Drosophila melanogaster: one gene and its partners. The protein of the gene in region 2 interacts with the protein of the main gene of each other region in a pairwise test. Each region holds a gene or a part of one and is shown on either strand. Other genes may lie near its edges.

Region 1 (3,755 bases), on a different chromosome or scaffold from region 2:
GAACAAGATTGGAATAACCAAGTGGAGCGATAAGACAGGTACTTTGTGCTGTTTTCACCATATGAAAAAGTCACGATTACACGTATAGAATGCCTGTATTTAAATACGCACTACAACAACGTTTGCAGACAAACACGCGTACAGATACTTAAAAATGATAATAAGTCTATGTATCTAGTATGTTTTTCAATTTAACAAACATGCATGCAGTTTTGGTTTCGTCGTTACATATAAATCTCATTTTAAATGCATATTTCTTATGGAACTCGCTAGCTTATACACAAGTGTCTTTTAAATAGTCTGATATTGCATACGTATAAGAGTAAAACTTTAGATGTGTTCGACTTTACTTGTGACTAAGAATGCGCTGACGTTTAAAAAACATACAGAGCAAACGAACACAAAGGAGTATAAATACTTTTTCCTAAGCCTAGGAGAGTATGAGAATACTATTGAAATACTATTATCGCGGGACATTAGAACTTAAATCTATCGAAAACACAAGAGATGGTATATAGGGAGCTATGGATTATTCTAGGAGTGGGATTCGGTTTGAAATTATTTGAGCACGGGCAGGACCAAAAAAGTCCGCCTCACATCCGCGAATTGTAATACGGGTCGTCTTCGCATGGCGGATATCCGTAGAGATACGGATGGTGGCATTGCACTCACGACCAGCGCGACTTCTGCAGGTCGATCTGTCCCTCCAGGGTCTTGGCCAAATAGATGACGAACAACTGCAGCAAGGCTATGCCCAGGGCAACGCCGGCAATCACATACAGATTCCTCTCGACCCATACTCGCACGATCTCGATGCAGCCGCTGGTCCAGATGCGCTTGCTGGCGGCGGCCACTGAACGCACCTGCACGCCATAGCCACACATGATGTTCACTAGGCCGGAGCTGATATCGGTGGCATTAATACAGCAGCTGTAGGGCACTCCACATCTCTCCACCGACGGCGATGAGCAGTTGAAGTACTCGTTCTTGCCTGTATGCATACGGACATGGAATTAATTCGTTTGTGGCTTATGAATCAAATACTCACTCCAATCCTGGTAGCCGGCGTTGCTCAGGCCGCAGCAGTTAAACTCCTGCTGGGCAAAGTCGATGAAGTTTTGCAAGTCGGAGTCGTCACGGTACGAGTGGATGATTTTGTCCGTGAACTGGTACTCGAGGAACGAGTTCATGTACTGCGGGAAAACGAAGCAGATGATGGCCAGCGACATCTCCAGTATGAAGAAGAGAAGCAGGCACATGGAGTACAGCTTTAGCAGCCAGGTGTTCTCGCGCAGCGCACCCAAACAGCCGGCGAAGCTGACCGTGAAGACGATGACTCCGGCGATGATCATCACCAGGGAGATGTTGAAGATCACATCGTAGATGGTGTCCAAGCGCAGCCAGCCATTGCCGTCCATCAGTTTGTCCATGAAGGCGTACACGCCGATGGCCAGGAGCAGGCCGCCGAAGAGCCAGAAGAGGAAGTTTAGCAGGAAGATCATGTACTTGACGCAAGAGGAAACGTAGCTGAAGTGGTGCGGATAGGTGGAGATCCGCGGGTGCATGTAGTTGCCCCCCTGATGGTATCTGTGATTGCTCATGGCCACGCGAATGTGCAAGTCGTGTTTTCAGCCGAGTATTTCGATGAGTATTACTTTTCCTGGTATTTTTGCCCAGGTTTCCTCCCCCACGGTTTTTTCTTTTTGTTGACGCCCTCTTTGCGTGTGGTCTCTTCAGCGGCCTGCACGGCTGTTTTGCTATAGTTTCGCAGTGCGTCAGTGGTGGACTGTCTAACTCTGGTGTTTCCCCGCAGCGAATATGATGAATTAACGCACTAGCTTAAATTTTATGACTGATAAGCAAATTTATGGAGCCACTAAAAATAACAAAGTGCCCGGCGTTGCCAGACGTGCTGTCCAATTAGGCAGCAGTTGGCAGCGCGGCCAGTCAGCTGTTCGCGTGACCGTACTGCCTTTGTTGCCTATCATCCAGCATTCGATTGGCAACGCGAGCCAGCCAGGTGTTTGATTTTCATCGCGTGCAGCTGTTTTCCCAAGCAGCTTTTTTTGTATTAGTTTTTAATTTTCCACCGCTGCGTAACATTGCGACGCACGCTTGTTTTCGCCCGCGTTTGGCGCATTCATAAACAAAAGGCCAAAAATAGAATCAGCACCATTTAGAGCGCTATTCAGCAGGTGAGTAGTTTTCCAGCTTAGAGAAAACCCAAGGACGCACCATTTAAGTGTGGGAAAATTAAGTGTTTTTTCTTTTCGGTTCTCCGCTGGTGACATTGAAGCACAATTGCGAGCGCATTTTCCCTAATTGAGTTGCGACTTTCTCTGCACTGCGCTTTCTCCTCGCCAAGCGTTCAAAAGCAGAAAAGCGCACGAAAATAGAACGGAAAATGTGGGAAATGTGGTAGACGGAAGTGGCAACGCGAATTGCATAAATATTAGTTAGTACGCGTGGGCAGTGCGCAGTGGACAAAACATTGACTTTTCCTCCTTGCTCTGCTCATTTTCCCCCTGTTGCTGTGCTGATTAAATAACCAGGCAGTGCCAAGTGCAGTTGTCACCTGAAATTAGCCACATAATGTTTGCACTTTCTGCTCGCCACGCACTGCGGCGCACTCGAATATTCGCCATTCCACGCTTTTTCGCAGGTGAGTTGCACTAAAAAGTCGCAGGTATAGTTTGTAATACCTGTGGGCGTGTCAGCCCATGCTCATCGATTGGCCATCGGCTAATTTTAGACACAATTTGAGTTGATTTTTTTATACATTTGCATTCTATATGAACGCAATTTAGCCGCTATTTTCTGACTTTGCTCGCAATGAATTCATTGTCTTCAATTGCCCGCGACACACTTGGCTGGCTTTTCTATTGTTGCACTCGGAAAAACCGAAAATAAAAGGTGACTGCTCCACCTACGCTATTCGATTTTCGGTTTTTTTTTCGGCTTTTCCTTCGCCTTCGTTTGCTTTGGGCGCCACTCCGTTTGATTGACGGCGGGCAAGCAGCATAAAAAGCCATAAAACTATTTTTGGCCCAATGCGTTTCTCCACTCCATTTGTTGGCCGCACTTAACAAATCTGTTTACACCTTCATTAATTAGCAGGCAAGTTTGTATACAAAATTGGTGTTACTAATTCCCTGGATGCACAACTTTGATTTTGAGTTTTCAAGATTGTTAACAAATTGTTTAAGAAAATGATAAGTATTTTCTATATTTTGTACGCTATATATAGCTTTTGTTTAATATTGGAATAAGAATATTTATGTATATATTTCCTTATCAAATTGGGTTCCAAAAATGCCAAAAATTTTCTTCATATAATTCATTTTCATAAATGGTATGGTATCGTTTGTATGAGAAAACAAGATGATTATGAGTTTCGAGAAAGTATTTTCAGCAACTCATGGCTGATAGTAGTAAGCTTCTTATCGTCAGATGGCCGCATTCAAATAAGCGAGTTGAGATTGCCCAAGGTTTCGTTGAAAGTCCCACCGATAAGTGGGCAGATTATGAGGGAAATCTTACAGAAGCTTGACGAAATCCCCTACTCAGTTTCCATTACCCAACTGCTGGCGAACCGAAAAGCACACTCAAACCGACCCGACCGCAAATCAAATACCAAAGTATTGTATTGCATTCCAGATTCACGCCAAGACAGCGACAATCCGGACAAAAGGTATTCCGGACCAGCAGCGACTATGGATAACAAGAGCGAGAAGGTTACGGTGAACAAGGAGGAG
Region 2 (3,755 bases):
AACGGCTCGGTATCACAAGGTCAGCTGCTGGCCAAGCCCGTGGATGTCACCGAGTTCTTTCACCGCATTGCTGTGGGTCTCGTCGAGCAGCGCGTCTGCTTGAAGCCTTTCTTGGCATTGCGCAAACATATTGCTCAACTGGTGGGTCAGACTTTGAAGAAATCCAAGAGGATGCGCCGTTAATCCATTTAACATCCAATGTTACAACATCCATGTAATAAGTATCCTATAATATCCAATAAATAATATATTGCGTTCACCGATTGGATATGAAGTTAACTCAAATTCGTAAATTTAATTAAATTAATATAAAATATAAAAGTAAAATTAAGCACAATATTAGTATCCACACGGTTCGTCGTCCATTTCGGTGCAATTGCAGTAGTTAATATCGGGAACGTTGTCGGATACCAGATCATCCTCGGCAATTGTTACACAGCGCACGTTACACGGATATTTCTGGGGAATGGACTGATTTAGGTGCTATCGATGGATAGTAAATGGATAAACCCACCACCACGACCAAGGGATGTCCATCATCGTCCGTGAGTCCCACATTATCGCAGCCATCGCCCTCGTTCTGCCGGTGAACTATGAACTTGGTCATACAACAAAGCACGATCTAAAAAGATGATTGACTTAGGGAGGTCTTATCTTAAAATACAATTTTGTTGCATATTCAAATTTTTTGATTTCAATATGACTTACGCTAATGAATTTGACAGAATTTAATGAATATGGCTCCAATATTCACCATTGTTCTGACTTTAAAACGTTGCCCATTACCAATTACTTACCAGAAACTTAAGGGCCAGGACCCATAACGCCATCAGGATGTAAAAGCAGTTCCACACCGCACTAACGAACGCAGGCAAGCATCCGTTCGCATTGATTGAGTCCACGGTGAGAGCGGGAAAAGGCTGCCGGCTATTGCCACCGATGGACTGCCCCTCACTGGGCAGGAAATTGTTAAAGCAGCTGTCGCAGGAGCGCTTGCAGCAGGCGAAGGGTGCCAGGACCATCGACGTGCAGTTATTCTCCCGCCGTGGCATCCACTCCGCGTTCATCCAGTCCTTGTAGCCATGCACCCCGCAGCACTCCTTGTGCCACTGCAGTCCGTCCCACAGGAGTTTCCACTCGGGACACGAGTAGTACATGTCGATGCCGCGGGTCAGCGAGGTGTCCGCCGCATTCTCGAGGACATCGACACCCCGGTAAAGATTCCAAACGCACCCGAAACCGGAGGCAATGATTACGCAGGAGTAGAAGGCCCACACGGATAGCAAGAGGCGAATGTTCGGCGTGCAGCGACGCCGCCAAATTCGCCGCCACATGGCAATGCTGCAGAGAAAGGTCACCACCACCTGGGCGCCAAACACGTAGATCCCAAACAGATAGCCGTAGACCAGGCGGCACTCAATATCCGATAGATAGCCGGTGAGCACGGTGTGGTAGTAGGCGGTCACCACCAGGATCAGCAGTCCGATCACGGCCTCGGTTATTAACAGCAGGTGGAGGTAGACGGAGGCTCGGCGGAAGGGCTGGCGCATTTGGTCATCCTCGTGGGCATCGATCCAAAGTTTGGCTTGTCGACGAGGTTTTAGCTCTGAACTCGAATTTCATTTGGATTGACGCTGATTGCAAGGACTTGGGTGTTTGAATTTTAAAGTGTACTACAACTTGAATTTAATTTTTTTTATCCCTAAGGGCAGTAAAAACAATGATGCATTGAAAAATCGCTTTACAAATATGTATATTTACATCTTTTTATTTGGTAAGCAGTTGATAAATGTATACACTTAACTATATTTCAGTTTAAAACCTTTTCATTTTGGAGCTTGATCAGTTGGAGCATATCCCACTCATGGGGCAGCGGTTTACCGCACAAAGCTAAACTTGAGTACGCCAGATGTGTAGTCCGTATTGGGTCCAATCTGTTTTGCATCCACCTTTATCAGCCTTATGTTATCAACGCAGCGCGAACTTTGAACTATTTCCGGATTGATATCGCTATGCCGGATCCACAGCTCTAGAGGGCGAATGCGCCAGCTTTGCTTGGCCAAAATGGCAATACACCTCCAGACGAAGGATTCTCCATGGCAGAAGGTTCGAGTGATGTCGAGGACTCTCAGCTGTCGACAATTGATCACGAATTCCAGCAGGCCCAAAGGACTCTCCAACTGATAGCCACACAAATGGAGTTCGGTTAGCTCACCCAGTTGACTGGCTAGCTGCCGCAGTATCTGATCCCCCAGGCACTGCACCTGGACGCCCTCCTCCTTCTCCTCCTCTTCCTCTGGCTGGCTGTGCAGCTCCAGTCGCGTCAAGTGACTAAGATTTCCCAGCTCCCTGAAGAACCGGCCATAGTCGTGCAAAACTCCACTGAAACTAAAGGCCTCAATTTGTCGGCCATCGCCGGGAGGACTTGTGGGACTAACTATCCTCGATAGGACATCAAAGACAAAGTTCCTGGAATAGATCGACAGCTTTCGCAGGTTTGGCAATGTCAGTAGTTGCTGCGTAATATCCGACTCCATACACACGTGGTAATCCGCAATCTTGATATGCTCCAGTGTGGGACACAGCTGCAGATCCGCCAGATCACAGCAGTTCACCTCGTCACAGTCCTCCATTATGTCAAATTTGCGTAGTCGCAGCTGCCGGAAGATGTCCCTAAAGTGTTGCGATTCCAGAAAATGGCAATCATGCAGGCGGAGATCGGTAAGCTCATCCAGGTCGCATAGGTATTTTCCGGTAATTTGGCAGCCTCTAAGTTTGAGGCTTTTTAGATTGGGAAATACCCTCTGCAGCATTCGCACATCCTCATCCACGAAGCGAACGCGTCTCCGTCTATACACATTGCCCAGCCACTCGAAAGAGTGAATCCTCTCCAGCGTGTGGTTACTGAGCAGTCGCAGTCTTCGGACATCCAACTGCTTGCAACTCAGGTGCTGCATGTGCGGAGCCAGGGCCAAGATGAAAGCCACAAACTGTCGGGAATTGGCTCCCGAGCGTCCGAACATCTCGTCCTGCAGGACAACGTTGCGAACACGGGTCTCCCAGAGCATGTGCACTACGCCCGCCAAGCGCCTGTTCAACCTGCTAATCTGGAACTGCTGGTACGTGTCCAGCTGGCGGATGATCAAAGCCAGGACATCGTCATTCAGCTGGAGCAGCGTTACTGCAGTGGGTTCTAAAAAGTTGAAGGACGATCGTCTTAATAGGCTCAGTTGTATTGTTTTTTTTTTTTTCGTTTTTAGCCAATTCCTTACCTGTATCGCTTGCGGACGTCATCTGCGGTCTGTTCTCGATCGTGGTACTTGGAATACTAATGAATTCACGCAGTTGCCACGGTCAGTAGTCCGATGCTACCTAGTGCGAAGGTCATTTAGGGGTGGGTTTCCAGGCAGATCGGGCGGAATTCGCGCTACCTAAACGACTTATCCTTTTGGAGATGGGAAAACGAAGCGATAGTTTTCGGGGTATCCCAGAGATACGAAATCATAATAATATCCTTAACCAAAAAATATAATTCTACTCAGGGTTACTCAGTTTCTTGTAAAATCCGGTTTTATGCTTATGCTGCGCGTTTTTGCTGCTCATTTATTTGTTTTGTTTAGTGCTTACTACTTCATAAATTTTAATTACATTTTACTCGTAACTTGTACAATATATACTATATATATATATATTTCATTTGTTGTCCAATTTCTGTCGTATAGGCATATATATTTTAGGTATATATAGTGTTGTAT
Region 3 (3,755 bases), 4.5 Mb from region 2:
ATAATTGCGGATAAGGATTAAATCTGCTGTCATGCTGTCATAATTAATTTATGCATATTCCAATTAAATTCCATTATAAAACGGAAAAAATTGTCCTATAGAAATTCGATAAAATTATAAATTTAAAAGTATTATTGTTTGAATACTCTCTAATATATTTGCCCTTGATTTGAATTAGTACCTTGCTAATTGCTACCAATTCTTGATATTGTTTTCGCTTCCAAAATGGTTTATGATTTCGGCACGTTTTTTTCTGAACGTATATAAAACTAATTTAATTTCTGTTCATCTGAAATGTACACACATACACTGAATGCATTTTCAAATATTTTAGGTGTTTAAAATTGTTTTTGTTAATTTAAAAAGAAAATTTGAGAATCTTTGCTTCGCCACTGACAAATTTGAATTTAAATATCACGTTTTGCCATTAAAGATTTAGAAGTGCTCGCGAGTTTCTTTGCATATAATTTGATTTTTCGGAATACTGTATTTGCAAATGTGGAATTTTGGTGAACACGTCAGAAAAATCGAAAAATGTTTGAATTTTACTTTTTTGAAGTTTTACTTTCCGAAGGATAAGAGTAGGCTCTATGCTCTATGGACGGATCTGCACTCTATTGGCTTGATTGATCCATCCGTTCGATTGCTCACCTCATCCTTGGTGAGTATGTGATCCACCAGCGTGCGGTCGTCGGCTTTCTGCTTGTCAATGCCCTTGATGAAGTCGAAATAGGTGTTAACTACGTTGCCGGCGCAGTGGACGGTGACCACGGTGAAGGCGGTGAGAAAGAAGGTGGCCAGCGAAAACTCCTCCGCCCACTGGGAGCGGTAGGCCAGGGCTGAGCCGAGCAGCGTTGGAACCAGACTGGCGGACAGCGACCAGGGACGCAGAGCTAGGAGATAGGTTTTCAGTTTCATAAACGTTCCGGATGTGGATGGGTGTCCTGTTAGTCGTCCCGTTAGTGCTACTCCGGCATCTGCACCTGCTGCACGAGCTCCAACAACGGCTTCCACCTCCTCACCGTCCTCTGTCTTGGTCTTGCCATTCCTGGACAAGTTGCCATTGGGCAACAGCTGGCTGCTTGTGGCCATGGCAAGCGGCACTGGTTAACTGGCACTTTGCGGTGGAGTGAAACGAGACTAGCCGCCAGGTATTCGTATTCGTCGGATTGTTTGACCTTGGTCACCTCCTCTCCAGAATTTGTTTACAATAGTTAAAGTATTCAATTTGTGCCTTTTTGGATGCCGGCACATGCGCTGCCTGGTCTCGATAATCGCTAATATTGTATACACAGCATCTTGAAAGTGGGGAATATATGCGGGGATATGTATATTATCAGCGGGGGGTGGAGAGCTCAGGTGGTCGGGGTCCCGAAACCACGAAATTTCACCCGTGCAGCTCCCAGTTTCTCACGCTCTCTCTCTCTCGCTGCCCCTCTCTCTCTCTCTCTTTTCCTCGACCGGTGCGAGGATCGTTCTTCTTATATGCCTCTCCTTTTCCGGCTGCGTCTTTGCTTCCGGCTATCGATTCCGGGTTAGTGGCGCAAATCGATTTGGCTGCGATTTTACTCTTAGTTATTTTAATCAAACAAATCAACTGTCACGTCACGTCAGCGCAAAAACGAAAAAAGGTTACACTTTTTCGTTGAAGGTGGCAACGCCGTATCGCATGTGCAGCCCTGCCTATTCCTACAGTTTTTACCCAAATTTCATAAATGAAAATAATTCAGATAATATGCAATAAATATTTAGCGGTACATGTATGTGCATTTTTTATATAATTCGTAAAACAAAGGTGGGTTTTAAATATTTATGTAATCATTGTTATCAACACTTATCAACGTAATTAGTAGTTGAAGTAGCTCACCAAAATATTACTATATCTTTTGCATATTTGCGGAAATGAATCCACATTGAGTATGAAATTCATTTTAAACACGCGAAACAAATTTAATCATATATGATAGATTTGTTTCACAAGCTAGAGTTACGACTGTACCGTTGCAGCCCTGGTCCCAATCAGCTGATAGGAGTTTAGAGCAAAATTTTCAATAATTTTTTTGTTGATTTCTATAAAATTGAAATAAAACATGGACTATAATATCCACAAAATATGCAGAGTTTGCCTGGAGGAACTACATCCTGTAACTTCGATATATAGTACAGACTTTGCTATGATGCCCTCCGTAATGTTGATGCAATGCGCTAAAATAAGAGTGGGTTCTAAAAACAAAATATTTCAATGTTAATTGGCATATGGAAATTGTTTTAGGTTTTTAAAACCGATGGCCTACCTTCGGTGATCTGCAACAACTGTATTTACCGGCTGGGGGTGGCCTTCCACTTCAAGCAGGAATGCGAAAACAGTGATCTCCGACTGCGACAATATCTGGGCATTCTGGAATCCTGGCGCCAGGATGCGGCCACCAATACGGACTTTGTGGAGAAGCCGTTGCTTCCGCAGCGCGATAGCGATGAAGAGGAACCCGTGGATGCCAAAGTGAGCAAGAGGCGGTCGCGCTATCAAAGAAAGCCGCCAGAAGAGCACAAAAAACGGGGGCCCAAACCTGTGCCAAAGATGCCCCACACCTGCTACGAGTGCCACAAAAGCTTCAAATGCATTGCCCAATTAACACAGCATATAAGAACACATACTGGCGAGAAACCCTACCAATGCAGCTTTTGTATCCAGAGATTCGCCCAAAAGTACAATCTTAAAGTCCACGAAAGAACGCACACGGGCGACAAGCCTTTTCAGTGTGAGATCTGCTCAAAGCAGTTTTCCGCGTTAGGCAATTTCCAGGCGCACCAGAAGATTCATTTAGGAGTGCGGGATCAGGTATGCTCGCTATGTCAGAAAGGTTTCTACACCGCCGGTGATCTCTCCAAGCACATGATAACCCATACGGGCATCAAAAACCATCACTGCGATGTCTGCGGCAAGGCTTTCAGCAGGCGAAGAGATATGCGGACTCATAAATTGAAGCTTCATCCTCTGGAGTCCAGTACAAACCATGATATAGTGGATGATGATGATGATGAGGCTATAGACACGGATCCCGTGGGTCTGGACACCCTCGATCACGCCCACTTCAAGTGTCCGGATTGCGACAAGGCATTTGATACGGCGGACAGCCTAAGTCTACATTTTCGCACGCATGCGGCGAATAATAATCTACTGAATTTGCCGTTGCCTCCTGCACCACCTATGTCGCATCACTACCATCACGATGCACTGCATCATCTCGGCCCACCGAATCCCGCCACACAAATGGGAATGGCTGCAATGGCTCACATGTTGGCACCGCCGCCGCCTCCACCGCCAACGCCAAGTGAAGGACGTTACACTATGCTGCACCACACGGCGGCACAAAGACTACATTATTAGAGTATAGCTACGAAGATTTATCTTAATCATAATTATTGTTTTAGATTATGTTTTGATATTGAACACTTTTATTTAGTTTGTCTATATAAAATGGAATATTTTGTCATGTTTGCTTTTATATCTTTACAATAAATACATGTAGAAATTTGGCAAGCACAGCTTCTATTAAGATTATTACTTAAATGCAAGAACTAAAATCACTAAAAACTCCCCGCGCGTACTTGTCGCATACTTGTCGTCGATATAAAAATGTCATTGTTGTATAAACTAAGCTTGATTTGTGTTTTCTGTAGGTAAAAATTGTAGTATCTCAATATTGGTTTGTTTGGTATTGGTATGCATCGTTGGTATCGGCTTAATCCAGTTT

Evidence for each region.
Region 1: the proteins of Tsp33B (region 2) and Tsp86D interact in a two-hybrid assay, tested with the Drosophila melanogaster proteins (one large-scale study listed by BioGRID).
Region 3: the proteins of Tsp33B (region 2) and heix interact in a two-hybrid assay, tested with the Drosophila melanogaster proteins (one large-scale study listed by BioGRID).

What each region holds. Positions count from the first base shown.
Region 1 is NT_033777.3:10,866,879-10,870,633, reverse strand, and holds Tsp86D (tetraspanin 86D), read right to left. Parts: upstream 1,927-3,755; 5' UTR 1,602-1,926; coding exon 1,049-1,601; intron 992-1,048; coding exon 669-991; coding exon of another isoform or gene 594-668; 3' UTR 79-593; downstream 1-78. Other genes in the region: SelR (selenoprotein R), read left to right, coding at 2,593-2,662, 3,658-3,755.
Region 2 is NT_033779.5:11,790,754-11,794,508, forward strand, and holds Tsp33B (tetraspanin 33B), read right to left. Parts: upstream 1,613-3,755; 5' UTR 1,551-1,612; coding exon 798-1,550; intron 623-797; coding exon 515-622; intron 460-514; coding exon 340-459; 3' UTR 272-339; downstream 1-271. Other genes in the region: CG14932 (uncharacterized protein), read left to right, coding at 1-183; CG14937 (uncharacterized protein), read right to left, coding at 1,878-3,193, 3,273-3,294.
Region 3 is NT_033779.5:16,298,221-16,301,975, forward strand, and holds the start of heix (heixuedian), read right to left. Parts: upstream 1,639-3,755; 5' UTR 1,093-1,638; coding exon 652-1,092; intron 1-651. Other genes in the region: CG17328 (uncharacterized protein), read left to right, coding at 2,091-2,216, 2,273-3,388. UniProt on the Drosophila melanogaster protein: Prenyltransferase that mediates the formation of menaquinone-4 (MK-4), a vitamin K2 isoform, thereby acting as a mitochondrial electron carrier.